Coturnix japonica: one gene and its partner. The protein of the gene in region 1 purifies or fractionates together with the protein of each later gene. This does not show direct contact. Links are inferred from orthologs where the notes say so. Each region holds a gene or a part of one and is shown in the gene's direction. Other genes may lie near its edges. The genes, in order: TGOLN2 and GALNT2.

What was found.
Region 2: the proteins of TGOLN2 (region 1) and GALNT2 purify together in Homo sapiens (affinity purification with mass spectrometry; 3 studies listed by BioGRID and IntAct, counting the BioPlex papers as one, with this or other methods). This does not show direct contact. The link is inferred for Coturnix japonica from reciprocal best matches to the Homo sapiens genes TGOLN2 and GALNT2.

The regions. Positions count from the first base shown.
Region 1 is NC_029537.1:29,307-45,255, reverse strand, and holds the start of TGOLN2 (trans-Golgi network integral membrane protein 2), read left to right. Parts: upstream 1-12,175; 5' UTR 12,176-12,234; coding exon 12,235-12,346; intron 12,347-12,655; coding exon 12,656-13,992; intron 13,993-14,733; coding exon 14,734-14,817; intron 14,818-14,954; coding exon 14,955-14,960; 3' UTR 14,961-15,949. Other genes in the region: TCF7L1 (transcription factor 7-like 1), read left to right, coding at 336-535, 612-676, 1,332-1,462, 7,328-7,411, 7,603-7,735, 8,133-8,235, 8,468-8,551, 8,933-9,076 and 4 more. UniProt on the Homo sapiens protein: May be involved in regulating membrane traffic to and from trans-Golgi network.
Region 2 is NC_029518.1:36,124,858-36,140,686, forward strand, and holds the start of GALNT2 (polypeptide N-acetylgalactosaminyltransferase 2), read left to right. Parts: upstream 1-8,502; 5' UTR 8,503-8,594; coding exon 8,595-8,711; intron 8,712-15,829. UniProt on the Homo sapiens protein: Catalyzes the initial reaction in O-linked oligosaccharide biosynthesis, the transfer of an N-acetyl-D-galactosamine residue to a serine or threonine residue on the protein receptor.

The DNA.
Region 1 (15,949 bases):
AGGTGAGCGGGACGGGGCAGCCCGAGCGTTAGGGGAGGGCCCGGGCGGGACGGGGCAGCCCGTGCGGGGCGGTGCGACCCGGGGGAGCGGCGGGACCCACGGCCGGGATCGCGGAGGTTCGGCCCCGCTGTGCGCGGAGCAGCGGCGCTCGGGGCGGCCCCGGGCCCTGCCCTGCCCTGCCCTGCCCTGCCCCGCCGGCCCGGCCCGCGGTGTCGCCTTGCAGCCCGCCCCCCTCCGCCGCCCCGCGCATTCCCGACCCTCCGGGCGGCGTTGGCGGCGGTGCGGGGCCGGAGCTCGGGGCCGGAGCTCGGGGCCGGGGTGGGGGGGGGGCCGCGATGCCGCAGCTGGAGCCGGCGGCGGGGGACGACCTGGGGGCTCCGGACGAGCTGATCGCCTTCCAGGACGAGGGCGAGGAGCAGGACAAGGGCGCGGGGCGCGGCTCGGCCCACGGGGACCTGGACGAGCTCAAGTCCTCGCTGGTCAGCGAGACCGAGGGCCGCGCCGCCGCCCCGGGCGGCCCCGACGCCGAGGTGAGGCCGGGCCCCGGCGGGCGGGACGGCGGCCCCGGCCCCCCCCGCGGCCCTCACGGCGCCCCCCCCGCTGCCCCGCAGCGGGGAGCGGCCCCCGCGAGCCCCCGGGAAAGTTTCCAGAAGACCGCGGGACGCGCTCGCTGCAAGTAACGGACCCCCCCCCCCCCCAAACCCCGTTCCTCGCCCCGCAGACTCCTTTGTTCCCCGGGCACGCGACCCCCCCCCATCAACCGCCCTCCCTCCACGGAAGCGGGACCCCCCCCCCCCCCCCATCCCAAAACCGAGCGGAGCCACCGGCCCCGCCCCCCCCTGCACCGCGGGAAGCGGCGGGACCCCCCCCCAGCCCCGTCCGTGGGAGCGGGACCCCCGTGGGTGCGCGATACCCGCGTGGGGCTGGGGCCGCCGTTAGGCCTGGGGGGCTGCGATACCCCGTGGGAGTGGGATCCGCCATAGCGGCGCTGCCCCGCGTGGGACGGGGGCAGCCAATGCACCGCCCCATAAAGTGGGAGCCCCTCTATAGGGCTGGAGCGCACCCCAGAACGACACTGAGCCCCCACCTGGGGAACTGCGACCCCCACACTTGGGAGTGGGACCCCCCCCCCATAGGGACTGGAACTGTCCCAAACGTGGAGCCCCTGCTTGTAGAACTGCCCCCCCCATAGGACTGGGACCGGGTAGACTAGACGGGGACCCCCCGTTAGGAGCTGAGCCCCTCGGTGTCACCCATGGCCCCGTGGTGCTGCACGTAGACCCACCCCCAGTCCCTCTCCCCGTTTCCTGACGCTCTCCTTTTCTCTGCAGTGGTCAGACGGCAGCAGGATGGGGGCTTTTTTAAGGGCCCCCCCTACCACGGTTACCCCCTGCTGATGCTCCCCGAGCTGGGCACCCCGTACCTCTCCAATGGAGCTCTGTCACCTGGAGGCCCCCGCACCGTGAGTGTCAGCGCCCGTGGGGCTGCGTATGCAGCAAAAACGGGAGGAATTTGGGGTTTGTTGCCTTTGTGGTCGCTTGACTCCTTCCAGACGCTGCTCTTGTGCTGAATTTGGGGCGATATGGGCAAGTTTGGGGACTTTGCATTGAGTTTAGTTTCTTTGGTTGTGTTTGGGTTCTTGGGCTGTGCTTTGAGATATGGGGTTGAATTTGGGGCCATTTTGGGTTGAATTTGGGCTGTTTTGGTTGAGCTTAGGGCCCTTGGTTGAGCTTCGGAACATTTGGTTGAGTTTGTGGGGACTTTGGTTGAGTTCGTGGGGTCTTGATTCAGTTCGGGTCTATTGATTGAGTTTGCGGGTCCTTTGATGGACCCTTTGGGGTCTTTGCTCGAGTTTGAGCTCTTTTGGCTGGGTTTGGGAATTCCTGTTTGAGGTTGGGTCCTTTGGTTGGGTCGGGCCCCCCCGCTGCCATGAGCAGCCCCGAATCCTGACCCCGGGCTGCGCCGCCTTTCTCATTGAAAAGCGCTCCCTGCAACTTCCTAAAGCCCTTAATGGGCTGACATTGTCTGGCCCCGCTTTGGCGTTTAGAAAACTGATTAAGCAAATTGAGCGAGCACTGGAGGGGGAGAACAGCCCGGCCCCCTCCGGCATCCCGTGCTGCTCCCAACCCCGCACCCACCGTGGGTGACACCGGATGGAAACCCCATAGGTGCTGTATGGGAAACGCAGAGCGCGCGTACGTCGCAGTGCTCACGTCGGGGTTTCATGGCCCTGTGACCGGGTCCCGTTTTCCAGTCATCATTTTTCTGGTGCTTTGTTTTGTGATTCCTTTGAGGCTGGGCTGGAAAATGGCCTCAAGCAGAACCTTGCGGCCCCAAAGTTTGGGGGAGTGTCAGCAAAGGGACCCCAGGGTTTGGGTTTTGTTCCTGGGGGGCTCCACGAAGTGGCTCTTTTTGCCTTTTCTCTTCATTTTTCTCCCCAAAAGCAACAGATGGGGTGATGCTGAATGAAGGACTGCAGGGAAAGAAGAGGGGTTTGGGGTTTGGGATAGGGGCCAGGCAGCGCCGTGTGGGGCAGACCCACGTCTCTTCACTCTGAAGCGTGCAGAGGGGTGATGCCATCACACTCACGGGTTGGGCACATCGTGGTGCTGCCGGTGATGGACACATTCCTTTGCCCTGCTCCCAAATCACCCGTCCCCTCCCACTGCTGGGTGACCCACAGATAGAGGAGGAATTTGGCTTTTTGGAGCCTTTTAGCCCCTTTTTCCCCACGATGAGGCTGGGAATGGGATGACCCCAAGCCTTGACCCCATCCCATCGCTCCGTCCATTTCTCGGAGCTGAGTGGTGACCCTTTGGGGCTTTGGGAAGCAGCTCAGGGTTGGGGCTGATTTCGGCTCTTTTGGGAGCTGTTCCCGGGATGCTCCTGCTCACAGGCTGCCCCACAGAGGCAGATCTGTCTGCAAAAGCAAATATCTGCCCTGGGCCGCGTTGCCAAGAACAATGATCCAACCCCAGCTCTTGGCACGGGGCTGCACGGCGGGATCCGGCGCCGTGTTGGGGTTTGTGCCGCTCCGGGTCGCTGCCACCTCGGCCTGGTCGGGCGCTGGGCACCAAAGGAGTCGGGTCCTTCTCCCCCAGCCCGGCTGCAGGCGCTGAGCTGAGCGTTGGGTGCTGCTGTGCTGTGCCTCGGTTTCCCTGTGAGCAGCACCTCGCGCTCAGCCCTTGGCACACAATGGGCCCTTTATGTCTGCTCCTTAATTATGCTCTTCGGCTAATTACCCCGCATTTTTTTTTCTTTATTTTTTTTTTTTTTTTGGCTTAAATGAGACCTACAGGAGGTTTCCACTAAACTCCTCCGCCCCCTCCCTCCCTTTTCCAACACGATTCCCAAATTAAAGCAATGAAGTAAGTGCTCCGGGCGACTCTCATAAGACCTGGTTTTGTTGGGGGACTTAATGCGCATTCATCATCTTTCTGGAATTCCGAGCAGCTGCTTTTCATTAACGTCCCTTCCTTGAAGTCGCGGGCGGTAGCGAGGGAAGGAGCGGGGAGCAGCGCGGGGAGCAGCGCCCGGCGCATCCCGGCTGCGGGGAGATGGAGGGGTACGGGGCACAGGGAGGGAGGTGCTCAGCCCCGGAGCAGGGGGAGGAGGAGGGAGGAAGGGGATGGGCACAGTGTGCAGCATTTGGGGGTGTTTGTTGCAGGGATGTGTGTGTGCGCCACGGGAGTCCTGGATCCTGGGTGTGTGGGGCACCAGGAGTCCTGAGCCACAGGGAATCCCAAACCTGGAAATCCAGAGCAAGGGAATCCTCAGCCCCAGGGCATCCCAAATCCTCACCTGTAGGAAGCTCAGCCTTCCCAGGGGTCCTGGATCCTGGGAAGGCTGAGCCCCAGGATTCCCAGGCGCTGGGAGCCATGAGCACTGGGAATAGTGGCTCCCAGGAATCCCACACCCTGACGGTCCTTCGTGCTGGGAACGCTGAGCCCAGGAACCCCAGCCCTGGGGAAACCTGATCCCTGAGAGTCCAGAATCCAGCAAATCCCACCCGCTGGGCAGCCTGAGCCCCAGCGATCCCATCAGTCACACACCCCGGGGATCCCACACGCTGGGAATCGTGAACCCTGGGATTCCCAAACCTCAGGAATGTTGATGTGGGCCCACAGGTGGGGACTGTGGGTTCAGGTGATGCCGTGCTCCCAGCTGCCATCCCAGAGCAGAGGATGTAGAGACTCTGTTCTCAGAGGTTCCATCCCCAAACCCAGGACTGCGGGGTGGGCTGAGATTCAGCCTTGTTGCTCCCAGTGTCCCTGTGCCTTTCGGTCCCACACTTTGGGATTCCGGAGCCTGAGCACCGTACAGAGTTGTGGCCGCGTGAGTGCGGGGTGAATGAATGGAGCCATTCACGGGGCACAGACAAAGCCCCGGGGTGGCGGGGAATTGCTGCCACTGAGGTTATCTGGTGGGGGAGAGGAGAAAAAGGGGTGTTTAGGGGTCCAGGATGTGTGTGGGGCTGAGGCCGTGGGGTGCTCAGGCATTGTGTTGCCCCATGACGTCCTAATGATGCTCCGGATCCCCCCCCAGTGCCATGGGATCTGTACTGAAGACAAGGCGTCCCCTGGAAAACCCACAGCCCTCAGAAATTGCATTTCCTATGTGCCAAACTGGGTTGGATTTACCCCAGCTGTTCCCAGTGCTGGGGACTGGGAGTGCTGCAGGGTCAGAGCGTCCCACCTTGCAAAGATTTTTGGGGTTCTGCGAAACACTCAATGCAACCCAACGTGCAGCTCCTGCTGCGCTGCATCGGGATGTGTTTTGGGGAAAAGGAGCCAAATTGGAGGCATCAGGGGCTGCTTGGATGGCAGTGCTGGCATTGAGAGGAGGATGGCGTGGGGGCAGTGGTGTGGGCTGCATCCTGTGGGGTGGGTAATGCAGCACAGAGCCTTGGTCTCAAAATGAGCCCTTCTCACCCAAAAGGAGAGGCTGTGGTGGTGGGTGAGCTGGGTCTGGTGCTGCAGGGCCTTGCAGCTTTGGGACGTGGGGTGCACGGTGCTCACAGCGGGATGTGGGATTCCAGGACATTGGCATGTAGGATGTGAGACTTCAGGACATTGGGATGTGAGATGTTGGGTTGTGCAATGCTGGGACAATGGGATGTGAGATGTGTGATGCCAGGACATCCAGATGTGGGATGTGTAACATTGGGACACTGGGACGTGGGCTGTTGGAGTGCCAGGGCTCCATAGCTCCACAGCACCGCGATGTGCCGATATTCCCTATTCCCAGTGTAGCATCTGGGATAAATCCAACCAAGTTTGGCTCCAGCAGCACACAGAGATGTGATCTCAGGGGAAGCTGGGAGCAGCTCCTCCTGGGGAACACGGTGCTGGGGTGGGTGGCACCAGGATACACAGTGCTGGGATGTGGAATCCATGGACAGGCTGTCTGGGATTTGTGGCAGTGGGATGTGCCCCCCCTTCGGTGCCACCACGCAGTGGGGCTTTTCCCCCACTCCCCCCTTTCCCAAGGAAAACATCTCAACCCCGTGCAGAAGAGGGGAGGAAATCCGCTCATTAAAGCCCCTAATTGGGCATTAGGGGATCCCGCAGCGTTCACGCCTCCTCCCCGAGCTCACCGCAGCCACACGGCACAGCCCTCCCCAACTCCCATTGCTGAGGGGGGGGGACAGACAGACACACAGACAGACACACAGACACAGGCAGATGGGAGGGCTCACAGTGGCACTGCAGTCCGGCAGGGAAGGGGTTAACCCCCCTGGTTTTAATTGGGGAGGTGGGGGGGGAGCTGGTAACGAGGAACCAGAACTTGCTCTAATCTCTCTGGAATGTGACCGATTTTCAACTATTTTCCTCTTTTTTTTTTTTTTTCTTTTTTAATAGCTCCAATCTGCTGCTCGCAGCCCCACGCGTGGCCGTACAGTGGGAGCTGTGTCCGGGGCTGGGGGGTGGGAGGGGGGAGCTGGGGGGGGCTTCATTTTTCCACATTAGCACTGAACCGTTCGCCAGCTCCCCCCTCTTTGTATATTTTGAAAGGGTCCCCCTTCCTCTCCCCTCCCCGGCCTCCTGAAGCTGCTTCCAAATGAGAAGCAGCCTTTTATACACAGCTCTGCCCGGCCGCCGTCCCCCAGCGGCTTCTCCGCTTACAGAATAGAGCAGAAAGCGCCTTTGTGATGGGCGGGGGGTGGCGGGGGGTGAGGGGCCGCAGCAGGCACTGAATGGTCACCCCTACGTGGACGTGGGGACGTGGGGGCAGCTCCTGTGTCAACTCAGCGTGGGCACAGGGGAACCTCCTGTGTCACCTGGACGTGGACATGGAGACACACGGTGTGTCACCCCAGTGTGGATGTGGGGACACAGGGATACCTCATGTCACCCCAAGACGGACATGGGGACACCTGGTGTGTCACCCTGACATGGGGACACCCCCTGTGTTACTTTGACGTGGGCACAGGGACCCCTCATTTGTCACCTCCACCTGGGAATGGAGTACACTGGAGATGGGGTGACTGGAGATGGATGGGAGATACTGGGAAGGGATGGGGGATACTGAAGGTGGAGGGAAGGTACTGGGAATGGGGGATACAGGACATGGGGAGTCCTGGCCCGAAGGGGAAATACCGGAGGCCCGAGCGGAGTGCTGGGGATGTCAGCAGTGTTCAGAGGATGAGGAGCTCCTGTGAGCACCAGGGGATACTGGAGATGGAGAAAGGAACTGGGAACAGTGGGGATGCTGGGGATGGAGCAGAGGTGCTGGATGTGGGGGATGGGGATGCAGGCGGGGCTGCTTCCTTCCAGTCGTGGGAGAGTTAATGCTCCTAGAGCCGAGCTGGGCTTCCCTTCTCCCCTTCCCCTTCCCTTTCCCCTTTCCCTCCCCTTCCCGTTCCCCTCCATTTCCCTTCCCTTCCCTCCCCATCCCATCCAGCTGCCCAGGCTCAGGACGGTTCCTGGTGGGGAAATTCCTGGCACAGCTGCTCCATCCCATCCCGGCTGCATTCCCCAGCACCACACAATGCACCTTTATGTTTTCCCTGTGCCTGGAGCGCACAGATCTGGTGGGGCACCAAAAAAAACTCAAGAAGTGCCATACGTGCCTCTCCCCCGGCCCTTGTTGAGTTTGGGGGGGGAGTTTCTCACATTCTGTGACAGTGTGGCTGAGGATCCCATCCCAATGGGCACTGCTGCATCCCCCAAATCTGCTTTTATGGGGCTGTGGTGGCTGATGGGGCTGAGAAGAGGCACCCCAATGTGCTATCAGCCCCATGGGCTGAGCCTGCAGTGGGTGTTGGGGGCGTTGTGGGGTGCAGTGGGGTGTGGGGTGCTGTGCTGACAGCTCTTTGCTCTGGCAGTACCTGCAGATGAAGTGGCCGCTGCTGGATGTGCCGGCTGGGGCCACACTAAAGGACAGCCGCTCACCGTCACCCGCACACCTGGTAAGGACTGCGGCCCCAAACCCCACTGAGATACGGCCCCAAACCCCACTGAGTTGTGGCCTCAGACCCCACAGAAGCAAACAGAGCTTCAGCTGGGGGTGGCGTTCTAGGGGCTGTGTTTTGGGGAGGTGTCCTTGGGGGGGGCTGTGTTTTGGGGTGGATCACTGTATCTTTCCTCCCATCCCCTACAGTCCAACAAGGTCCCGGTGGTGCAGCATGCGCCCCACATGCACCCGTTGACGCCGCTCATCACCTACAGCAATGACCACTTCTCTCCTGGCTCGCCGCCCGCGCATCTCTCACCTGACATCGACCCCAAAACGGGTGAGTGGGGGGAGAGGGGTTGCATGGAGAGAGGGATGTTTAAAGGGAGTGCTTATAGGGAGATGAATGCTCAGATGGAGAGGGGGTCTTATAAAGGAGAGGGGTATTTATAGGGAGATGGGTGTTTGTAGGGAGATGGGTGCTTGTAAGGAGAGGGTCGCTCGTGGAGAGAGGGGTGCTTATAGGGGGTTGAGTGCATTTAGGAAGATGGGTGCTTGTAGGGAGATGGGTGCCTGTAAGGATGTGAATGTTCGTAGGGAAATGGGGGAAATGCAGGGAGGTGAGTGCTTACAGGAAAATGAGCACTTATGTAGAGGTGAATGTTGATAGGGGGGTGGATGCTTGTAGGGAGGTGGATGCTCACAGTGAGGTGGGTTTAATGCTGCTCCCCCCACAGGGATCCCGCGCCCGCCGCACCCTCCCGAGCTGCCCCCCTACTACCCGCTGTCGCCAGGAGCTGTGGGTCAGATCCCTCACCCGCTGGGCTGGCTTGTGCCGCAGTAAGGATGGGCTCCTCCTGCCCCGGCCCCACTGCGTCCCTGGCCCATGCACCCCATGTGCTCCTTGGTTCCCAGCGAGCTGGGTGCGATGGGGTGGGGAAGGGAGGGACTGTGCTCTGGTGGAAATGTGGGATGTTGTCCCCATTGGGATCGGCTGGGGACCGAGCCAAGAGTCCCGGTGTTGTGGGGAGGGGGCTTGTCCCTGTGTCTGCTGCAGCTCGTGCATTTGCAGGCAAGGACAGCCCATGTACTCCATCCCCCCCGGCGGCTTTCGGCACCCCTACCCCGCCCTCGCCATGAACGCCTCCATGTCCAGGTGGGTCCCTGCACCCTGGTGGGTCCCCATGGCCAGGTGGGTCCCCATATCTTCGTAGGTCCCCATGTCCTCGTAAGTCCCTATGTCCTCGTGTCCCCATGGCCGCGTGGCTCTGAGCAGGGACAAGGGACCTCCTTGGGCACCCTGAGCTCCGTGTGGGTGACTGCACTGGCCCACGCTGGCCAGAAACAGCCCCATGGTGACTCTGTGTGTGAAGAGTGATGTCCCTTGGCTCTATGGTGCCAAGTTCAGCCACAAACAAGTCCCCAGCAGTTCGGGGAAGAGTCTCTAATCCCAAGAGATCCTCAGTAGGATTTGGGGGGACATTTGGGGTTGTTGATGCCTGTGGGAGGGCTGACAACCCCACTCCCTCCACTGCAGCCTGATGTCCAGCCGCTTCTCCCCACACATGGTCCCGCCGCCCACCCACGGTCTGCACCCCTCAGGCATCCCACACCCCACCATCGTCTCACCCATTGTGAAGCAGGAGCCTGCCCAGCCCAGCGCCAGCCCTGGCAGCAGCTCGTGAGTAGGGACATGGGGGGGTGGTGCCGGGGACAGGGACAGGATGGGGACAGAATGGCATGGGGATGGGAATGGGGATGGGATGGGGATTAGGATGGGATTGAGATTGGGATTGGGATTGGGATTGGGATTGGGATTGGGATTGGGATTGGGATTGGGATTGGCATTGGGATTGGGATGGAGATAGGATGGGGTGGGGAGGGACAGGAATGGGGATGGGGATGAGGATGAGGATGGCAGCAGGGACAGGAATAGGAAGGGGGATATGGAGCTGAGCCTGCATGTTGCCCCCTGCAGGAAATCCCCCATCACAGTAAAGAAGGAGGAGGAGAAGAAGCCCCACATCAAGAAGCCTCTGAATGCTTTCATGTTGTACATGAAAGAGATGAGGGCGAAGGTCGTTGCTGAATGCACGCTGAAGGAGAGCGCGGCCATCAACCAGATCCTGGGCCGACGGGTACGTGTCTCCCTCGTGCCTTCATCTGCCTGCACACCAACATGGCTGTGCTGGGGACCTGCAGGCACTGCCTGCCGTGTGTCCCTGGGGTCCGCAGTGTCCTTTCCCCTTGCAGTGGCACTCGCTGTCGCGGGAGGAGCAGGCCAAGTACTACGAGCTGGCACGCAAGGAACGGCAGTTGCACTCACAGCTCTACCCCACGTGGTCTGCCCGCGACAACTACGTGAGTGTGACCCACATTCCCCAGTTCAGTGGGGTTGGGAGGCCTGAGGGTGGTGGGGCTGAGCTGGGGGGACACCACGGTGCCGGCCCACATCACCCCCTGGGTCACCATGACCCCAGTGTGACCATGAGCCCCTGTATCACCATGTGCTGCTCTGTGGCGTTGTATCACCCCCCCTCAGCCTTTGTCCATCCCGTGGAGCATCCCACCATCACACCTCAGTGCTTTGCAATATTTCACAGGGCAAGAAAAAGAAGAGGAAGCGAGAGAAGCTGGCCCAGCAGCAGAGCCACGAGGCAGAGAGTGAGTACCCGGGGGGGAAGGGGCGGCCGTGGCCATCACGTTCCCCCCTCTGCCCCCACACTCAGCGCCTGCCCCACACCCCGCAGGTGCTCTGCCCTCCAGGAGCAAGAAGCCGTGCGCCCCACACCACCTGCCCCCCGATAAACCCTGCGACAGCCCGGCCTCGTCCCACGGCAGCATGTTGGATTCACCTGCCACGCCGTCAGCCGCCCTGGCCTCCCCGGCTGCGCCCGCAGCCACACACTCGGAGCAGGCGCAGCCGCTGTCGCTCACCACCAAGCCGGAGGCCAGGGCTCAGCTCGCCTTCCTCTCCGGCAAATCCTCCTCCTCCTCCTCCTCCCTGGGCTCCCCCCCGTCGCTGCTCCCCCGGCCCATCGCCTTCCCCTCGCTGCTGCTCCCCTCCCCTCCTGCCCCGCAGCAGACGCAGCCGCTCGCGCTGGTCACCAAACCGGCCGACTGAGGGTGGGCTGAGCAGGAGCCCCCCACCGCCCTGCACCGCAGCCGCCACAATCACGACTCCCAACGCAGCCAAACCTTTATTGGTCAATATTTGACCTTTTCTGAACTGTTTTTTTTTGTGTTTTATTCTTTTTGTCTTTTGGGAAGCAGACTCTGGAGGAAGAGGCTCTTTCCCTTTACCAGCAGTCGACCTAAAGACTGTTTTTATTAAAAAAGAAAAAAAAAAAAGGGGGGGGGGAGGGGGAGGGAAATGTTTTTTTGTGTTTTTTAATATTTTTTAAGAATAAAAGAGAGAAAGAAAAAAAAAAGAAAAAGGACCTTTCCTCAGGCTGGGCATCCAGTGCTGATGCCCCCAGTGCCCCCAGTGCCCCCAGTGCCATCCCACTACAGCTGGACCCCGTCCCCAGCTCGGTGCTGGGCTGGGGGGACATGGGGTGGGGCTGGGGGGGGGGTTTCTCATTGAATCCCTGTTATTTTTCACAAAAAGAAAACAAAACAAAAAAAAAAGAAGAAAATAAAACTACAGCTGCAACTTTGCTGCGTGAGCGTGGTCCGTGCAGGAAGGCCGGCACTGCTGAGCGCTGCCGATGTCAGCCTGGAGCCCTGCTCTGTGCTGCAGCTCCAAGAGCCGAAACCTTTTTTTTGGGTCAGAAAAGCCAAAAACCGCTGTCCTGCAAAGGGCCGCAGCCACTCAGCCGACACCAGGAGCAGGATGCGGCCGAGCAGCGCCTTGAATGGGATTTCATGGGAAATTAAAGGCATGAAGAGACCTGTCACAAGAATTAAAGTCTGGACCGGAGCCAGACGGCTTCAAACAGATGTTGGACTTCAGCGGGAGAATCTTTCTTTGTTTGGCTCGGCGTGTTCCCATACGGAGCACGAACATCTGTCGGGTGCGCTGGGTCCGGATGGTCCCTTCGGGAGGACGGAGGCACGAGGAGCTGCTGCTCGTGGGGCGGCTCATATGAAGGCGCCGCGTCCTGCCCGGCCGCTCCGAGTCCCGCTCAGCCCGGCCTGTGTCCGTGTGTCCGTGTGTCCGTGTGTCCCCGGCCACCAGGGAGCGGCCTCGTGCCGTCCGTGTCCCTGCGGTGACACGTCGCTGCTCCGCCGGCCCCGTTTTCCTTTGGGTCACTCCATCCCATCCCTAATGGCCGCCGTCCAACAGACCCCCCGGGGCTGCGCTGCCCGCTCACTAATTGAGACGCCTAATGAGCTCCCTGCGGAGATGGAGCTAATTAGGAGCTGCCCGGGGCCGGGGGGGGGGTCCCGCCAGATGTCGCGTTGCACCGGGGTGAGGCCGCGCCTCGTACCCGTTAATTGCCGTTAATTTCCCATTTGCTGATGGATTCGATCTCATCCCGCCCCGCTCAGCGGATCGTGGGCTGCAGTCAGTGCCCAGGGATGGGATGGGGAAACGTCCCACGAGGAGAAGGGCAGCGCCAAGGCCCAGAGCGCCCGGTCCGACCCCAAATCCCCCTTTTTGACCCCAAATCCCCCTTTCTGACCCCAAAATCCCCCTTTTTGACCCCAAATCGCCCCCACTCGGCTCTACCGGCGCGCCCCTCCCTCGCCGAGCCCCGCCCCCTGCTTTGCATGGCCACGCCCACTCACACAAGCCCCGGCCCCTGCCGGCCGTCAGCCGCGTGCCGGAAGTGACGTTTTGAGCGGAAGCGGAAGCGGAAGCAGGCTGTATCCGGGTGAGAGCAGCGGGCCGGCATGGCGCTGCGGGTGGTTCCGCTGCTGCTGCTGCTGCTCCTCGGCATCGCCGCCAGGACCGGGGACGGGACCAGTAACGGGGACGGGACCAGTAACGGGGCCGGAGCCGGAGGTAGCGCGGGGTGCGGGGGGAGCTGGTGGGAGCCGGGAGCGGACACGTGTCCCACGGCCCCGGGTTTTACGGGCTCTGTGTCCGCGGGAGCTGCCGGGATCCCGTGAGCGCGGCCGGGCCGAGGGTGGATGATGTGAGTGATCCCGGCGGGGCGAGGAACCGCCGCGTCAATGACCGCGGGGAGTCGGGGCTCGGCGGAACCTTAACGGGGCGGCGGGACGCTCGGGGCGGGAGGCAGCGCGGTAACGGGAGCCGGTAACGGAACTGCGGGTCCGGGTGGTAACTGCGGGCTCGGTGTGTTTGTGGCAGGCGGGGAGCAGGGAGCGGAGCTCACGCAGCCATCCAGCACTTCAACAGGCGGCGGAGGATCCAACGGGGCACAGGATGGAGACGGCGGAGGGACAAATAACGGGGGAGGAGCTGGTGGTGCCGGTCAAAACACAAACGGGATTGAGACGCAGCCCGGAGGGACAGGGAAACAAGGCGATAAAGACAAGGAAGAGAGCAATGGGGGCAAAGACACCAGCCAGAGCAATGGTAATGATGGCACTGGGAGCCAAAGCACCAGCCAGAGCAACAGCAACAGTGGCAGTGGGGGCCAAGGCACCAGCCAGAACAATGGCAATGATGGCAATGGAGGCCAAGGCACCAACCCGAACAACGGCAACGGTGGCAGTGGGGGCCAAGGCACCAGCCAGAGCAGTGGCAGCGGTGGCACACAGTCTGGCAACACTGCTGGCCAACCCAGCACCCAAAACACTGACAGCCAAAGCAATACCCAGCATGGTGATGATCAGGAGCAGAGCAGCCACAATAGTGGCAATCAGGGCACCAAGACCGACAGCCAAAGTAACCACCAGCAGGGCAGTCAGACCACACAAAATGGCAACACCAATGGCCAGAGTGGCCAGAAAAATGGCAGTGCTGGTAACCAAAACAGCCAGAAAGAGAACACTGACAAGGGCAATGGCCAGACCAACCAGCATGATGACAACACCAGCAGCAGCCAGAACAATGTGCAACATGGCAACACCAACAGCCAGACCAACAAGCAGCCTGGTAACACCAACAGTCAGACCAACCAGCAGCCTGATAACACCAACAGTCAGACCAACCAGCAAGGCAGCGGCACCCAGCAACATGGCAACACCAACAGCCAGACTAATGAGCAACATGATAACACCAACAGCCAGACCAACAAGCAGCCTGATAACACCAACAGCCAGACCAACCAGCAACCCAGCAACACGCAGCATGATGGCAACACCAACAGCCAGACCGACCAACAGAGCGACGATGCCAACGGTCAGAATGACCAGCAAGGCAGCGACAACCAGCAACAAGACAGCACCGACATGCAGGACAGCAATCAGGGCGACCAGGAAGACTCAGTGGAAAATAATGGGCAGCCCTCACAGTCAGTTTCATCTGTTCATGACACAGAAGGCTCCCCAGATGGTGACGAACTCCCTGAGGAAGAGAACGGGTTTAGGAATGGTAATGGTGCTGCCTCATTTAATGAGAGAGAGAAGAGTATTCCTGTTTCTCCAGGGAAGAAGTCAGAGAACAGCCACTTCTTTGCCTATCTGGTGACCACGGGGATTATTGTTGCTGTTCTGTATGTTGCCTATCACAACAAGCGGAAGGTGAGTGGTTCTGCTCCTTGCCCAAGTTCCCCCCTGTGGTTTAAAAGCTTCCTTCGCAGTCGTTGGTCGGTGCTGCAGGTGGGGACATGCTCGGCTGAACATCTTTCCCCTTTGCTGCTCTCATTTTTGCCTTTTGCTTCCTGCTGAAGCCTCCTGCTTGCTGGGTGGGTTTGTTTAGTGTTTAATTTGAGGCCTTGATCTCAACAGCTTTGAGATGAGCAGGGAGGAGTGTTGTAACCAGGAAAGCATTTGGATCTCCATGGAAATGGGATGGCCTCAGCTCCAGCGGTTATTTTCAGCAGTGAGAAATGGAACTGAGCGAGGAGAAAAGGAAAAGATCTGTGCAGTTGCTCTGTGTTTCTTATGGACAATGAGTTTTCTGTACCAGGTTGTGAAAGACTCGCCTTTAAATAGCACTGCACAGGGGAATACAGCCCAAGTGATAAAGCCCATCTTTTCTGCTGTTTTTGTCCCTCCTGCAAACCTGTTTTTGTGGTAGGAGAGGGATCAACTTCTTAACTGTTTTCTGTGGAAAACTGTTTTGCCATGTTTGGGAAAGCCTCATCATTTCCTGTTTTCAATCTGAGCTGCTTTTAAATGATGTTTATTTCAAGTACTTTTAGAAGGATGCGAGTGATGCTTCTCATTGGCCCACTAGAAAGTGCCTCTGTTAGAAGTCAGAAAAACTGCATGTGGTCGTTCCTGTCCTGCTCACCTTGTCCTGCCTCTCTCTCTCCAAAGATCATCGCTTTTGCCCTGGAAGGGAAACGTTCGAAAGGCGGTCGGCGGCCCAAATCCGGCGATTATCAGCGGCTGGATCAAAAGGTAAGGAGGGGGTTGGAGAAGTCCGTCGTGTTTTCCCCTTGAAACTTTGGATTCACGTGCATCTGTAGTTATTTTCTGTGATAGGAAGCCATTGTGAGCTTTCACATTGTTTTAGCTTTTCTTTTTTCCCTTTCCAGATCTAGATTCCTCTTCAGGTGTTCAGTGGAAGAATGCTGCTTGGCGACAACGGGACCAGAATGGTGGGACACCATCAACTGCCCTCTGTAGCACTGAATCATAGCTTTGCTGTCGTCTTCGGATCTCAGAGAACAGGAAGAAGGGGAAATGCTTTTACTTTTGCACCTGCACCTTGGTAATGTTCGACTTCTCACTTCCTTAAAATGTGTTTCTCCTTTCCCAGCGGCCTGAAAATGAATCGGTTTCTGCGTGGGCGTCTGGTTTCTAGACCGTGGCCCAAGAGAAGCCAGCTCTGGCACTTGACAGAACTTTCATGTCTAAACGAAATGGGATTTGCCAGCTACTGTACCGACATCTCTTGAGAAAAATCCACCTGCGAAATGAGCCATCTGATTCTCTCCTTTCAGAGTCATAGAGCTGCCTTTGTAACCAGCACTGTCCTGCTGGAGGCACCAACAATCTCTTTCTCTGTCCATTGCATTTGGATGCTGAAGTTTGGAGCGTGATTGCACTAGCTTGGAAATGATCTGCCAAGGACTCTGCTTTGATTTCTTTTCTTCCTCTGCGATGAAGGTGATGTTTGCTTCACATAACAATTCTCACCTTAATGCACTCCTCTGGGAGTGTTGGAGCTGCCCTCTGGCTGTAGTTTAGACTTCCTTACCTGCCCTATGGCAGTTGTGCTCCACGTGGCTCTGTTCCCTTGTGGTCCTCACAGCTGAGATGCTTGCACTAATGAGGACAATTAGTTTGATGCTGCGAAAGCAAGCCATTCAGGCTTACGAAGTTCTGTGCCATACAGCTGCAGTGATGGAGCAAACTTAACCTCAAAAAGGTAACTCTTCCCTGTTGTTAAAACATTGTCATGATGATGCAGAGTGGGTGATAGTGTTTGGGATGAATGAAATTTGCAGTCATTCAAACCTCTTCTCAAGTACTGAGGCTCTTCAACAGGAAAGGTGCAGCGCTTGCACTAAGGTGTTTCCCAGGCAGC
Region 2 (15,829 bases), on another chromosome or scaffold:
CTTCTATCTCACATTGGAGAGGTCTCTGTATGAAGAGTTCATTCCTCTGGAATCAACACAAGTCTAGAAGAAACTCCTGCATGTGATGAATCTCAGTGCAGACCTCTCGTGTCTGTATAAGTGTGAGCCCTTTTTGCATTTCTTCGGCTGTCAGGAGTGTAGTGACTTATCTCAGACGTTTATTAGGTACTGCCTTCAGTTCCCACTGGGACAGTGGGCCTGAGGAGCCAGAGAATTGCAGGATCACAGAGTGGTTAAGGTTGCAAGGGGCCTCTGTAGGTGATCTGGTCCAACTGTTTGACCAAGGATACTCAGAGCAGACTGCCCAGTTCCAAGTCCAGGTGGCTTTTGAAGACCTCTGTGGAGGTGACTCCACAGCTTCTCTCTCCATAGCAACCTGTGCCAATGCTGTTACCCGCATCCTAAAGAATCTTGTCGGACTTCTGGTATTTTATTTCAAGCCTTCTTTTCTGTGCAGTATCTTTGTGCAGTTTTTCAATAACTGAAAGAATGACATGTGCAGACTGACCACGATGAGCATTCGAGATCTGAATCCGTTCATGTCTTCCAAATGCAGACATCTTTCCTCTCTCTCATTGCCAGCAATTATATGAGCTCATTGCTGATCAAATCCAGCAAGTAAAATACCAGTGGGACTCTGAACTAATTTGGTGTCTCAAAAAATTCTTTGATATAGCTGTACAACAGCTCAATGTTTTAGTGAGTAGAGGTTAAAAAACAAAACAGAAAGCCACCAAACAGCAACCTGCTCTCCTGGGTGTGTTGGGCCTGCTGATGTTTTCTTGGCTTTTAGAACAGAAGATCTAACTAAAATAATAACCATGTGAACTACCTCATTCTTTCCTATTTATTGTTACTCAAGCACATGGCATGCCTTAAGGTAAGCTAGCCAAGAAAGCAGTGTAGACAAACTGAGAGCAAGCAAGTGCTATGGAGAAGCCAGCGTAGAGCATCATGATCCAACCCGGGGAAACTCCAGCTGCTGGGTTAATTATTGTTATTTAGTCACATGCCAGAAAGCATGTGATTAATTGCAGAGAAAAAATGCACCGTCCTTCATTGACTTTAAAAGAATTCTGCCTGCCAAGGAGAAAAATGAAATCTGTGAAGTTAATAAGCTGAAACATTAAAAAGGAAGAGAGAGATAGAAGTTGATAGTGGTTCTGCAGCAGGTGAGGCTTCCCAATTGCATCCAGCCCTGCCAAGATCCCATTAGGGAGCAGGAAAACCCTGGCACCCAAGCACAGGGAATATTGCTTTTGTTCTGGCTGAAGTCTTCTGACAGAGTTTTGCAGAAGTGTGGGAGTGCAGGGAGTTATTTCTGAAGCAGAGGGTTTGTCAGTGGTGTGTAGATGTGTTCCTGGCTAGAATGCTGTGATATGAGCTTCTTCCTGATGGGATCTTTGCCTTCAGGTGTGGCAGTGCACACAGTTTCCTGCTGCCAGCTGCTCTGCTCTCTCGTCAGCAGGAGCCCCAGGTCTGACCTGCTCCGTGGCACTTTGCAAGCGTGATGCTGAAAGGGCAGATGACTCATATCGTGGTTTGAGTAAGGTGCTGCTCAGCTTGGCGGAGATTCTGCTGTTTAGAGGTAGAGTTTCAACTATACTCCGTGTGGCATGCGGCTGCCAAGGTCAATATTGTATGTGTGCATTTGTCTCTGCTCTGTCCTACTGCACCTCTGCAGGCACAAGTGTCTAGTGAGCTCTTCTGTAGCAAGGACACGTAGAATTTCTGGTTTTATACTGTGCAATGCAGCCAAAGATGTTTGTTCCTGTAACATTATCCTGGGACACTCATATGGAAGGTATCACTCAGGTAAGGCAATTGAGAAGTAAGCATACAGCAGAAATGCTGCTTACAAAGCTGGGGAATCAGAAACAGCAGTTTTCTTGTTCAGTATCTCAGCATTCCCAATTCCCAGCATTGTAGTAGAGAGTGCTTCCTAGAATGTGGGATTTTCTCCTTCACCAGCCAGCGATGGTGGAAGGCTGCAGCGTGTAGACAGGTCTCTTGTGGTGGGCTGTCCTAACACAGTCAGGATATGTTAGCATGTGCCCAAGAAGAGGGCATGTCCTCTCTTTTCTGATGCTCTCACTAAGAAAGCTGCTTAATCTTCTCTACTTACACCACTTCCATCCTGTTGCAGAGAAGTGGCCTTCTGTAGAGTTGGTGCCCAGTTTACATCAGTGCGTGTGAGATGACAGCTAGAGCAGGTATCTCTCTCAGACTTGTAGAAGGAATAACCTTGTTGGAGAGTTTGACTGCAAAAATATGATTTCAGCTGAGAAGGCCTCATTTACACCCATATGGGCAGGAAGAATCTAATTTACAAGTAAAAGTCAAATCATTATCTGGCCATCTCTCCATGTGGTTCACGTCTCTCTCAGTTCAGCAGAGTTTTGAAAGCCAGATAAAACAGCGCACGGTGCTGCAGTAGAATGAGAAAGGAAAAAAGATGTAGCATCAGTTCACAGACCTGCAGTTCTTCAGCTCATAAAAACATGATGGAATGGTCTTTTATTTTCTGTTTGTCTTCTTGGAAGAAAACACTTGCTACCCTACCTGAAACTCTTGAAAGACCAAAGGGCATGGAAAATACATGGTCTCTGTGGGGCAATCCTTGTTTCTCTTTTGAATTATGTTGTGTGGTAGATGCTGGGGCCAAGTTCATCGTGGTTCAGAAGTGTTACACGGAGGGTGGATCTGGCTATTGCCACGGGAAGGGGAACACTGTAGAAGTGATTTCTCATGATTTGCTGGTTTCAGCCCTGTTTTCAGAAACAACCTCTTTTGTGATTTCAACAGATGATGATAAAGGTTTGAAGCCAAAAGGGGTCACAAAGGCTACAAAGGGGAGGGTCAATTTCCATCCCCTGTGGTGAGCGAGCCTATTTACTGTCTGTTCCAAGGTACTGAAAGATTAAATTTGGGAAAGATCAATATATGACTTCTACAGAGTATGTGAACTGAAGCAGCTATGAGCATCTCTTCTGCCTTACACAAAATATGCTCTTAAGCGTGATACAGAAGACCCATGTAATTTGTTATAAAGACTGTGAGATCTAAACACCGTGTTTTATGAACTGGCAAGTATGCAAAAGACCAGGATAAAATGGCATGTTTGTTTTTAATGTGCTGTGGGAAGAGACTTTTAATTGCACAATGCAAAATCATCTTGAGCAATATCTGGGAGTACAATCTAGAGTATCGATAAAAATGAATCACTGGGATTTATTCGTTTGGCTGTGCTTGTAAAGGGAAAAGCAGGCATGGTGCTACGGCAGGTGAGTCTCACTTGTCAAACATGGAGGAGTCTTTGGGAATGTGCACCCCTTCTGACCATCTGAGCTCTATTCAGCCTGTCTGCTATGGCACCTCTGGAATTACCTTGTCATTGTCAGCAATTAGGGTGCTTCTCTAGGAAGCGGGAGACCTGCTTTCAGTGGCTCTGGCTGAAATCACTTTTTTAATGCCTACCATAAGGGAAGTGAGGACAAAGAAAGGAGGTATTTTCCACTATCCCAATGGAACTGAAATATTATATAGAAAGAAAAGGTTTGCTCTCCCTACTCTGCTGAAATGTGTACAGTCACTGAAGAGAAGCATTTACGGCACCTATATTAGGTAGTTGATAAGCATCATCCTCTCTCTGTTGTCTATGTGAGAAGGCAGGGTCTGACATCCTGGGAAGCAGGCCATCTGAATCACCATTCACCCCACTACAGATGCTGCAGGCAGATAGTGTGAATACAGCCCTGTGATTTTGAAAGGGAAGGCCTTCCATGGCTTCCTTGTGCACTGAGCTCCCTTCCTACCTGTCTTCCTTCATTCCTCTTTCTGTTTAGTCTTCTTCATTCTCTTGTATCTCATGTGGTGAGCTGGTGTCAGTGCAATTAGCTAGGAAAGATTTAGTTAAAGAGATGAGAAAAGCTGCTTCTGGCAGAATGCTTTGAGTTGGGGAAACCTCTTTCCTGTTCTCCAGGAATTTTGCTGTCAGCTGATTTAGCAGAAGTTTCTGTGCTTTTTCTGTATCATGGGTAGCCTCACGTTGATCTGGGTGATAAGTTTGAACAAATAAAACACCAGCTGAGGTTACAGAGACATTGTGTGTAGAGTTCACATCCATTTTTGTTGCTCAAAACCAGACTGCTGTATGCATTAGCACTCTGTGTTCACCCCTAGCCTCAGGTGCTAGTATATAGTGCTATGGCTGCATCCCACTGTGACACAAGTGCTTGGGAAGAGAGGAATTTCCTGGTGATCTACAGTATGAGGCAGGGCAGTCTTCACAGTCCCTGGCAGCAATGAGGAATCCAGCATGACCCTGAGAATTCAGATAAATGCAATGAATGGGGTTCAAATTACCCCAATCAAAGGTGAGGTCATTGCTTCAGCAAGTCTCTCTCCACAGCTGATTGTCACCCACCTATCATCACTCTCCTGTGAGAGATGCTTCTGAGCCATATCACATTTGGAAATCTGATCACCAGCCTCCAGAATGCTGCAAGAGGGGTTTTGTGTGTGTGTGTGTGTGCTGCTGAAGTTCAGTCCGACTCACTAAGTGACTCAGCTCAGGAAGAATAGTTGGCAGTGTATCTGTAGTTTGTACTGGTTGCTGCCATCCTTAGCAGGAGGCCTACGGAAGGCTGAGTTGTTCTTTCTTTGTCTTGTTGTGGTTTAACCTGGCAGACAGCTTAGCACCATGGTGCTGTTTGCTGTGTCCTCCCACCGCAGTTTGGGGGAAGAGAAGTAGAAAAATAGTGAAACTAGTGGATTGTTAGAAAGACCGTTTAAGAGGACATAGAAGGAAAGGGTGATGATAATAATGACAGAAGAATATGCAAGACAAGTGATGCACACAACAATTGCTCACCATGCTTTCACTCTGCCCACTTGGTTCCTCAGTAGTGGCAGCTCTCTTAGCCAGCTCCCCCAGTTTTATTGTACTACATCACCCTGTATAATATGGGACATCCCTTTGGCCAGTTTGGGGCAGCTGTCCTGACTCTGTCCCACCCCCTGTCTCTATGTGTGTTCCCAGCCCATTGCTGGCAGCCCAGAACCAGAAGCTGAAATGTCCACAGCTTAGCGTAAGCACAGTTTAACAACTTAAGTATGGTTGTTAGCAACACGTACTTAAAACCTAAATCCAAAACATAGCACTGAACCATCTACTAGAAAGAAAGTTAACTCTGTCTCAGCCAAAACCAGTTTAGCCTTCACCACCCACAGGGGAAAAGTCCATTTCCTCTGTTCATAAAACAAACAAACAAAAAACCTTCAAGGAATGTTGAACTTTCAAATTTAATAGAGAGGAAGAACTTCCAGATTTGGATTATTTGCCTCGGAAGCACATGAGCTTAAGGTGATGCTGTAAACCTTTGCGAGAAAATACAGCATTTGCTTTACCTACATCTCATGATGGAATGCATGGTTTGTTCTCTAGTGAGGAAACAGCATAAAAAAACCCTGCTTCCAGGGGAAATAGTGATTGCTTCATGCTTTAAAAGCAAAGATACTGCCTTATTGATGTTAAAGTCTGCAGTGAGAGAGAATTTCAGCTCTAATGGACCTGAAAGTACTCCGGCTTTGCAGGGCGTACTCTGTGGTCAGGCAGGATGACACGCTGTTCTCGAGGTAAAACTTGCGTGATACAATATTTGCTTCTTGGGGTTTTAACAGCTCCAACAGCGTTCTTGGAGGGTAACAAGATTTTCTGGAAGTGAGCCACTCCAGAAGCCTGTTGCCAGCACGTCTGCCTACTCTGGGTAGCATCAGAAACTGCATTGAAAAATTAAACAAACACAGTTCTTGTCATCTTAACAGATGGGAAAGGACACGTTGACTCCCATGTCTTTTACTAAGGAGGTAGGCTGTGTCTCATTGTTACCACTGTGCAGTGAGGAATTGCAAAACACCCACATAGATTTTCAGACCTGTTAGCTGCACTTAACCTTTAATCCTGCAAGTACTCAGCCATGAGCGTATAATTTTAAACATCTGAGTAGTCTGACTGACTCCGGTGGGAATATGTGCTGAATGAAGTTAAACATTTGCATAAACGTTTGCAGGTTCAGGATCTTTCACTACAAACACGATTCTCTCACTACAAACACAAACTCGGAGCGGGCTGAGTATTCAGCTCAAGCTCTCTATGTATTAATAAACCTTTATCCCTGCAGATGTATTTTACATCTCGTGTTAATATGCGGTTTCTGTGTTATAGCACGTCTTACATCAGGCTAACGAGTAACCATTTTCTTGAGGGAGAGGGAATAATACACCTTCTGACATAACTGTATGGCTTTGAAACAATATAATCTGAAATGGATCAACTATGTGCGTTAGCTTCTGTATACCAAAAAGGTTCAGGTAGCTTGGTCAGAATCTGGGCCTTTTAAAGCGTTTAAAGCCTATTTTCTGGGTTTTAGACCTGATCTGATACTCTTCACTCCCATCTTTCCAGGGGCAAGATTGTGTGCATGAGTAAGGGACGGACTTGCTTATTCCTAGAGAGTAGGACTGCTTTCTGTTCTCGCTGCTGGAGGATTCATTTACCTCAGGCTAGGTCATTTCACTCCAGAAAAGGATGAGCAATGTTTGTGGTCTTTAGTTACAAGAAGGTGAATGCTGACACCCTGAATTAACCTCTGATCTCACTTGTGTCTGTTTCCATACCTGCTCTCAAGTGCATGTGGCAGAATAACCTCTGGTTTACGCCCTAGCTAAGCAGAGCAGGATTCGGCCCATTGAATCTAGGTGCCGCATTACAGATCAAAGGAAAAGTTTTGATGACTCCTTCTGCAAATTTCACCCCTATTTGTACTCTCACATGATTGATCTCCCTTTTGTTTAAAGCACCGCGGTTGATACAGAAGCATTTGGATTCAGTGAATCACTCTAGCAATGCTGCTCTTGAAATATGCTAATATTTTCTTTTGAAACGAGCTAGAAAAAAAATCAGTTTTAAATGTCTTACATTTTTTGTCTCCGATTCCTTCCTTTAATTGAAGGTTGCTTTTTTGTGTGTCTTTTTGTTTCTTCTTTTGTGTGTGTCTGATTTGCTTTGCTGACTAAACACGCCAGGACTTCTGAGGCAAAGAGGTATGTGCATGCAAACGTGTCGTAATACAACAGGCAGCTTTTCCTAGACTTAAAGCTATATAACATTTCCCACCCCAAACCTCTGTGTTTCCTGTGGTCACTGAAATACAAGTACTTCAGAAGGAAATCTTCCGGCTTTTTGGGCTTTTTTCCAAATGTGAGTAATTTGGAAGGATTTGAACAGAACTGGTTCAGCCAGTTCAGAATATCAGGAGGGGGTGGGGGTGAATTTACACCCAGGAGGGGAGTAAACTCTTCAAAAGGGCTGACAACAGCAGGACACAGGGAAATGTTTTAAGTTAAAAGAGGGAAGATTTAGGTTGGATGTTAGGGGGAAGTTCTTCACTAGGAGAGTGGTTAGGCCCTGGAACAGGCTGCCCAGGGAGGTTGTGGGTGCCCCGTCCTTGGAGGTGTTCAAGACCAGGTTGGACGGGGCCCTGGGCAACCTGATCTAGTAAATGTGTATGTTTGGTGGCCCTGCCAGGCAGGGGGGTTGGAACTACATGATCCTTGAGGTCCCTTCCAACCCGGGTCATTCTGTGATTCTGTGAGGGGGAAGTTTCTTGAGCTAAGTAGATCCTTACAGCATTTCTTGAGCTTTATCAGTAGAAGGCTGAGAAGTGAACTCTGACATGGAAGTAGCCTTCCTTTAAGTAGATGTGCCTTTGCTTGTTCAAGAGGAAATTAGTTTTGATTTGGCTGAGTTATAAGCCTTTGAAAACCACGACTGGGCATGTGCAGTGGATTATTGCAGTAAGCTTGTGAAGTGTGCAGCCACAGAAGGATTTTCTGTACATGCTTGGCTGGCTAATTTTGCTGGAAAGGGAAAAAAGTCTATCTAAGCACATTGCTAAAGTCAGTGAAATTACCTGAGGCTTCAGGAGGACCTTTGAAGGCCGTCTCAACATCTTTTAGACTATGAAAAGGGCAAAAAAAGATTCCATAGGCTTTGCAAGGCATTTGAAGAGTAAGTGGCCTGCAGAATGTGTAAGGTTAAATGGGATTACGGCTCCAGAATCGAGTACTTGACACATCCGCGTGCGATGCTTTCTGTGCAGAGCCATAGAAGGAACAGTGCACATCTGGCCGGTGAAGGAGTCCCCACGCAGCAGGGGAACTGCTTCACCATCTCACCTCCAGCCGATGACACAGCTGGAGTTTATCAGCACGTTGACAGCCTTGGGCTGCCGATACCGCTGTGAATTACACTGCTCCATGCCCGGCTGTGCCCGCCATGCGCGGCGCTCTCCTCCTCAGGCTGGGGGCGTCGCGGCGTGCCGCAACCATGGCGACGCTGCCGGCTCCTCCCTTCCCCGCCCCCCGCGGGGCCGGGCGGTGCGGGATTGGCGGCGGGGCGGGCGCTCGCCCTCTGCCCCCTGACCCTGCGCGGCGGCGGCGGCGGGCGCGGCGGCTGCTGCTGCTGCTGCTGCTGGCCGTTTCCTGGTGGCCTGGCGGCGGCGCGGGGGACGATGCGGCGCAGGTCCCGGCTGCTCCTGTGCTTCGCCTTCCTCTGGGTGCTGGGCATCGCTTACTACATGTACTCGGGCGGCAGCGCCGCGCTGGCCGGCGGCGGAGGCGGCAGGAAGGTGAGCGCGAGGCGCCGTGCCCGGCTGCGAGCCCCCGGCGGGATAAGGGGCACCGCGGCGTGCGGCTGGGGGGGGAGCGCCCTCCCGCGCCGCTTCTCCGCACCCTTTCCCCTTTATTTGTACGTTTCTCCTCCCGCCCCCGTTGCGTTCCGCGGGGCGGGCGGCTGCTCGGTGGACTTGAGACCGGCTCCCGCCCAACCGCGCCGAGCCACGTCGCGGGCCGGGGGGCAGCGGGGCGGCGTTCTCAGCCCGGGGATCTCCTGCTGGCCGCCGGAGAGCCGGGCTCATCGTGGGCCGGGGCTGCGGCGGGCTTTCCTCCCCCCCCCTCGTTGTGTTTTAATTGTTTTAATTATCATTTCCCCCGGCGTTGTTCCGGGAGAGCGTTTGGAGGTGCTGCGATGGTCCGTCGTTGAGGGAAAGAAAGGGAAACCGAACGTTCCGCCGTTCCCATCTGCGCGGGTCAGAGCGGTGTTATGTGGCACGGCGAGGTGTGAGGCAGCGCCATCGCCCCATAACTCCTTCACTTCGTGACTGTGAATCCGTGGATTTGCATGTGCCTCCCCTAAGTCAGGAGCTTCCAGAAGCTGTGTGGCAAAGCCTCTGGGAAGTGAGATTTATCGTAAAAGATCCCCCCAGATCAACCCAGAGATGGGCAGAGGGTGAGGAGCTGGGCGCTGGGCGGCTGAGCTGCGCTGCTTGCTTAAAAATGGCACTGTGCTGTTGGGTGAGCGGAGTCGTGCTCCTCCATCCGCACAGCCACCGGGATCTCGGTACAGTTACTTTGATGCTCATTGGTGTGCGTGTTCCGAGTGAAAATCTGGCTGGCTCCTGTGCGAGCTGTGGGAGCAGAGCTTGCATGCTGACTTAAGGAGTTACTGAGGTGAGCGGGGATCTGGGGAGTTGACTGCTCTCTGGCTACCTCCACGCTCTGTCTTGTCCTCTTCTTTGCCCCCTATGGCCTCAGGACTGTGGCTGTCGACACAGTATGTTCAAGTATAAAGCATGTATCCTACGTACAGGCTCTCGGAGCAGATACAGTAGCGGAAATAGATGAAGCGTGAGATAAAAAGTAAGGCAGTACCCTAAAGCCTCTCTTGAGGAACCACCAGAGTGTGTTTAGAAACTAAAAGCAATCTTAGGCTGCTGCTGATGCATAATGGGATAAAGCAAAGCTATCAAAGGCGCATATATCTGCAGATAGGGAAATAGATTTTTAACTCCCGGTATGTCTCTTTTTGAGTTCCCAGTCAGATTTGCAGTTGAGCTCAATTCATTTTTACTGCTGGGGAAACGGCAGCGTGGGGATGGTGATTTGCACAAGGTCACCTAGAAGATCAGGTGAGAATAAAACAGAACAGAAACCAGTTTTTCTGAGAGCAACTCTGGTGCTTAATCTACTAGAACCTGCTGCTGTTCCTTATTGGTAGTAGTACAACTTGCTGTGGTGGGCTGACGAGATCTATGATCTTGAGATGCTTGCTTCAGCCTTATAACTTGTCATTGTTCTGCTAGAAGTTTAATATACCTCACCGATCTGGGCAATTGGAGAGTTTTAGCAAAGATGAGTTAAAGTAAATGAGATATTCTGCATGTGTGAGCCGAAGCTCAACGCTGGGTTTAAAAATGTGGAAGCTTAAACTAAGGTTGTGGTAAGGAACAAAATAGGTACTGTGACCATGAGAAACAAGTGGGGAAATTAACAATTATGTGTGGATTGGTGATTGAGGATTCTATTTTCTGTCAGCGAAGCGTAAAATTTAATCCTGGGCCTCAGAGTAGGTTAGCAAATGTAAGTATGGGAAGATGTGTGTAATGTAATAGCTTTTGAATCTCAATAAAAGCCTTATTAACTTAGTGTCAGACCCTGGTACGATGCAACAGTGCAAACTGCCTTAAACTTATGAACAGAAACCCTGCTGTAGTAAATTTCTTGGTTTGTATGACTTCGTGTAGTTTTCATTGCTTTCCCACTATTTCAGTGCAATGAAAACAGGGTTGCTTACAGAAGAGCATCGCTTCTTATAAACTGAAGTCTATGCCTTGTTGAGTCTCTACAATTACAGAAGCCAGAAGGGGATCATTCTTCATTTGTGTGAATAACTAATTTGCATGTTAATTACAGATCTAGCTAGACAAACAGAATGGTTTTTCCATAAGGGTGTTTTTTTTTTTTTCCATGTTCAGACCTGATGTATTATCTGGACACCCCAGACTTGTTTGGTACGACACCCTGTGCTGTGATGGACATCATCAATTCCCATTTCTTTTAGAAGAGGTGAAAGTATTTGCCCTTTTCCAGGATTGCACCTGAGAAAGATAGATGAATGCTTTATTTTTTTTTTCTTAGTAGAGGAGTGTCAAGTTGATATCAACTTCTTCATATTTTGGTTCTTCATTTATAACATTTCAAGCCATTTGGATGCTCCAGCATGCAGTATCCTTGCCCAAGCATTCGGCCTCTGTCAGCAGTGGTGGGAGCCACAGCCCTGTGTGCGCTGCTCTGGTTAGGTAGGCAGTGGGAGCTGAGTGTGCACAAATGGAGCTAAAGCACGCAAAGTAAGAGCTGTCTCATTAATAAATATGTGGATAATAATAATAACACGCAGGAGAGATGTTTCATGTTTTGGAACGAGGCACAAAGCTGTAGTAGGATGAAATTACTTCTTCCACTTCTGGAATTTAAGGTATGAGAGCACTTTTTTCTTCTTTTCTTAAAAGGAAGAGGAGGGGCAGAGTTGAAGTTTTTTATTCAAAGGTACTTAGAGGTGACAGAATCACTTCTCCTTCATATTCTTTTTCATCTCCAGTGAGAGTGACTGTAAGTATGAGAACCAGGGGTTCAGCTTGCTCCTTGTCCAGCCAGGTCACTGGGTTGTAGATTGGAAAGAGTAAGTCTGTCTCACTTGTTTAATGGTTAGTGAAATAGTTTCCTCAGACAGAGTCTGTGACATAGAAGCAAGCAAGTTGCCAGCCCAGCAGTTGTGAGACTGAGAAAAACGTGGGTTGCTCTTGTGCTCATTAATTGTACTTAATATTAAACAGCCTTTGGAGTGGAGACTGGAACTTTCCTTCTTGTGGGCAAATGTCTTAACCCATAGCAAATGGGTTTGTTTGTGCTCTGTGTCCTGGAACAAAGTAGAGTGGCTTCTTCAGCGTGGTTAGAAGTGATGTGTGCCCTCCCAAGCTGGAGTCATCCCGGTGATATCCCACAGTTATATCGCCCCAATCTTCAAGGAGTGGCGTGAATCAAAACCCGTGTATTTGGAAATCATTTAACTTGTTTCAGATTTTGTTTTGAGTCCTTTAACAACTAAGTTGTTCCACAAATGAGCGACGACTGGGTATGAAACGACAAAACAGCTTGTCCTTCCAAGCATTACAGCAGTAGGCCTGCTGAATGGAGCCCTTCAGGCAGGACACAGGAAAGCACCAAACACCTCACTGCTGCCAAGAGTGAAATCCTCATAGGCGTAGCCTGGAGGAGACCCGTAGGCACTGTGTGTTGTAAGCAGAGGCATCAAGAGGAGATGCCTGCTAGGTAAAGCTTCAGCCGAAGCCAATGTTTGGTGTCTCCTGGATCACACTGATGAGCTTTGGTTTTTGTTTCTATGTGAAGGTGGTGGTTTTGGGTTGTTGTTGTAGTTTTTTAATGTAGACCTCTTCTGCTTCCTTCATTGCTGTGCCTCCTCTCTTCCTCTCCATGCACTTTAGAGAAAGAGAGTAAAACAGTTATTAGGTAATCAGAGCTGGATAACTTCTGCCATGTTTAAAATTAGAAACTGCTTTTTCATTATATCTCCTTTTCCAAAACCAAACAAAAACGGAGAAAAAGGAAAAACAAACCCAGCTCTGTAATGCTTAGGACTAAAGGTCCATTAAGCTTCTGGCTTGTCGGATTTTTTGGGTGCAGTGGAATGAGTTGCAGGAATTGATTTTAGCTGTGCCACAGGGAGGCAGACTGCTCCTGCAGAACTGGTTACGACCCAGTGTGTTGTGCTGCTCTGGGGTTTTTCCTTCAGTTCCCTGACTTTGTGTGTTTTTGGGGCAGGGAGGGAGCAGAAGTGCTTTGTTTTTTTTTTCCTTTTTTTTTCTTCTGTCAGCTTTTGATAGTGGCCGTACCATGAAGTTAAGGCGGAAGAAATTCAAAGGTCAACTATGATATGTGGAGTACAATGATTGACTAAAAGTAACTCAGTCATTTGGGGAGAGTAGGGGGAAAATGAAGGCAGCTGCTTTCTTCGGGATTTTACAAGGATACAATTTTTTAACAACTCCTTCCATCCTTCTCTTCCTCTTTTCTCCATTTGGAACACACAAACTATTTCGGTTAGCATTAAGCGAGGCTCTTAGGTGTACCATTATGTGTGTATAATGACAGGAGGAGAGCAAAGGGAGCTGCGTGTTTGACAGACTTAGTGCACTTGAGCTTCTTTCTGAAGGTTAAGGTAGGAGGGAAAAGAAAGTGTGTTTTAACTGTAGGTGCATTAGCCAGTTTTTGTCAGAGAGTGGAACAGTGGAGTGCAAATTCGATTGTTTTTCCTCACGGCAGGAGAACTCCTTTTTGGAAGGGGACTGAAAGTAACGTCAAATCTGTTGTCTCCTTTTGTCTAAGGAAGATGTTGCCAGTTTTAATGGCTAAGTACTGAAAGTTTAGTTTATTGCATCCTTAAGGGTAACTGCAGTGCCTTATAATGATGCCACATTGGATAGGATTTCCAATATCTCGATCTTTAGACAAATGAAGACATGCTGTCACGTGGATTTGCTTCCTAGGAGGAGCAAGAAGACAGAAAAGGATGTTCTGCTGTTTAGCGGGTAGCTATTTGCTGTCCCAAAGGTGTTTTTCTGCTATAAATAAGTCTATAACAACTGAATGAAATGCCTTGGCACTTTGATAAAGCTGTCCTCCTCTTGCTGGAATGTGAAGTCTCCGAAGTTTGTCGTGTCTATGCTTTCTTCATTTCAAATATCACTTGGAGAAATTACTGCCTTGTCTTTGTGGATTGTTTCTTTCATGAATTTGAGTTGTGAGAAGGCAGCCACCTGCAAACTGTGTGCAGCTTCTCTAGGTCTGTGGTTGTGTGAGGCTCTTCCTCTCCTCGCCCATGCAATCTGAAATGCTTCCAAGTCGAGGTTTTTATGTTTTTTTTCTTAGACATGAGAGTGCTGTGTCATCCCCCACAACCCACCCATCGGTGTATCATCACTGATGACTCTGGCTTTGGTTTGGATGCTATTGCTCTTGAACAGTTGAATCTATTTTTGCTGCTTAAACAGAAGGGGAGCACGACTGTAGGGATGATGGAAGGGACTGAGGAAACAAGAACGACTTACTCTTAATGGAGTAGTTAAGCTGCTTTTCCACTTTTCCTACTGTTGTAATAGTTAGCTGTGCTTCTCTGTGTTATTCCACTGCTGTAGTTTGTTTCTTAGTGTGATCTCAGCGTACAAAACTTTGTAAATTCTAATAATGATGTCCTTTGAGAGATGTAGGTTAAAAAATTAAGTAGAAAGTGAACAGAGTGCCACGTATTCTACCTGTTTTTGTCTTGTCAGTCATGCAGTTTGAAATGTGTTGTAAACAAATGTCAGTCATTTTTTCAGTGTATTCCAGCTGCTTCCAAAAATACAACTTAAAATGTAATATAATGACACTGTTTTTTTTCCTAATTTAGAAAAAGCACAATATGACTTCATGTTAAGAAAAAGAATGTTCAATATCTATCTCAGTTGTGACTAACAAAATAGTCATGGCTTGGTCCTGAGACCAGCCTAGAAAAGTAGAACATTGATACGTGATGGAGAACTTCAATCCCTATCTTCAACATTACATGATTATTTCATTTTGTTTTTCTCTTCTCTTGTCCACTCTTTTGCTTTCCTGCGTGACGTGATATCTAAGCGCTTGTGCGTAACTGATGCTGTTTATCAGGTGATGAGAGGTCAGATAAGAGATGGGATATGATCCGCTAGAAAGCCTGCTCACAATGCTGCTCTGTTGCAGAGAAGAGATGCCTTTGTGTCTGTACTGGCTGTGATGAGAGGGTAACCCTAGTTGCATGTCTGGAAACTGTTTCAGCAATAAGACCTATGCATGGCCTAGAAAATGTGGTTTTACTTGATTTTTTTGCAACTACTTATATTTCTGTGAAGAAATATAGGGTAAAAGTTTATCTATTTGGAAACAAAATGTTAAGCTGCAACTGATCCTGTGCAGCTCAGGTGATGAATTCAAGCTGCTCAGGTAGTCGTTGCCAATGATAAATATTCGCTTGTGTTTTGAAGTTGGTTTGGGCCATTTAAATCTTTTCTTAAATAACCTTCTCAGGTGGCTGTTTAAGTTGTAATGGCACCCATCAGCGTGTAGCCAGGTGGTGTACAAATGTTCCTTCAATGGACTGGGCATTGATAGCTTGTTAGTAAAAGTGATTTTTAGTAGGAGCTATTGGAGGAGCAGTGCACTGCCAGTACGTTGGCAATGCCATGTGTTGGCAATAGACTTGGATTCTAAAAATGAATCTGCAGGAAGTAGTGAGACACTCTCATCTTTTTTTTTCTCCTTCAGTAATAAGGAGTTGAATGTCACTGCCTGCATATATTGGGGTGGGGGGAAGCCGGATATCAGAGTGGGTGTTGCATAAGGTCGTTGTGTTGTCATCATGTAATTCAAAGCGGTGGCATCTTTGGCTACATGAATTTTAAAATCTGAGTGTGTTCTCTTATGCTGCTTGTTTTGAAGTGAGTGTGAGCTCATCTGCTTTTCCCTTTGCTTCTAAAGAAGTAGGGGATGAATTGAGGAGGGAAGATAAATCACTGTGTGACTGGTGCACACTGAGTGCACGCTTACCTGTCATTCCTAAGAGTTCCTTTGCCAAACAATCTTACCATGAATGAAGCAGGAGTACTTACTGAATGCTGCAGCAGTTATTAATAATCATGAAAGCGAAAAATTCAACATCTGTTTTCTTTCTTATAGCTGTAACTTATGCTTCCCCTGTTGGAATATAGTGCGTTTTCTTTGCGGATTCACGGTAGGTTTTGTAGGAGGGGCTTCTCAGTGTATTAACTTGTTTGGTAACAGTTTGTTCGTATGATAGCAATTTTCAGAGGCTGTGTTT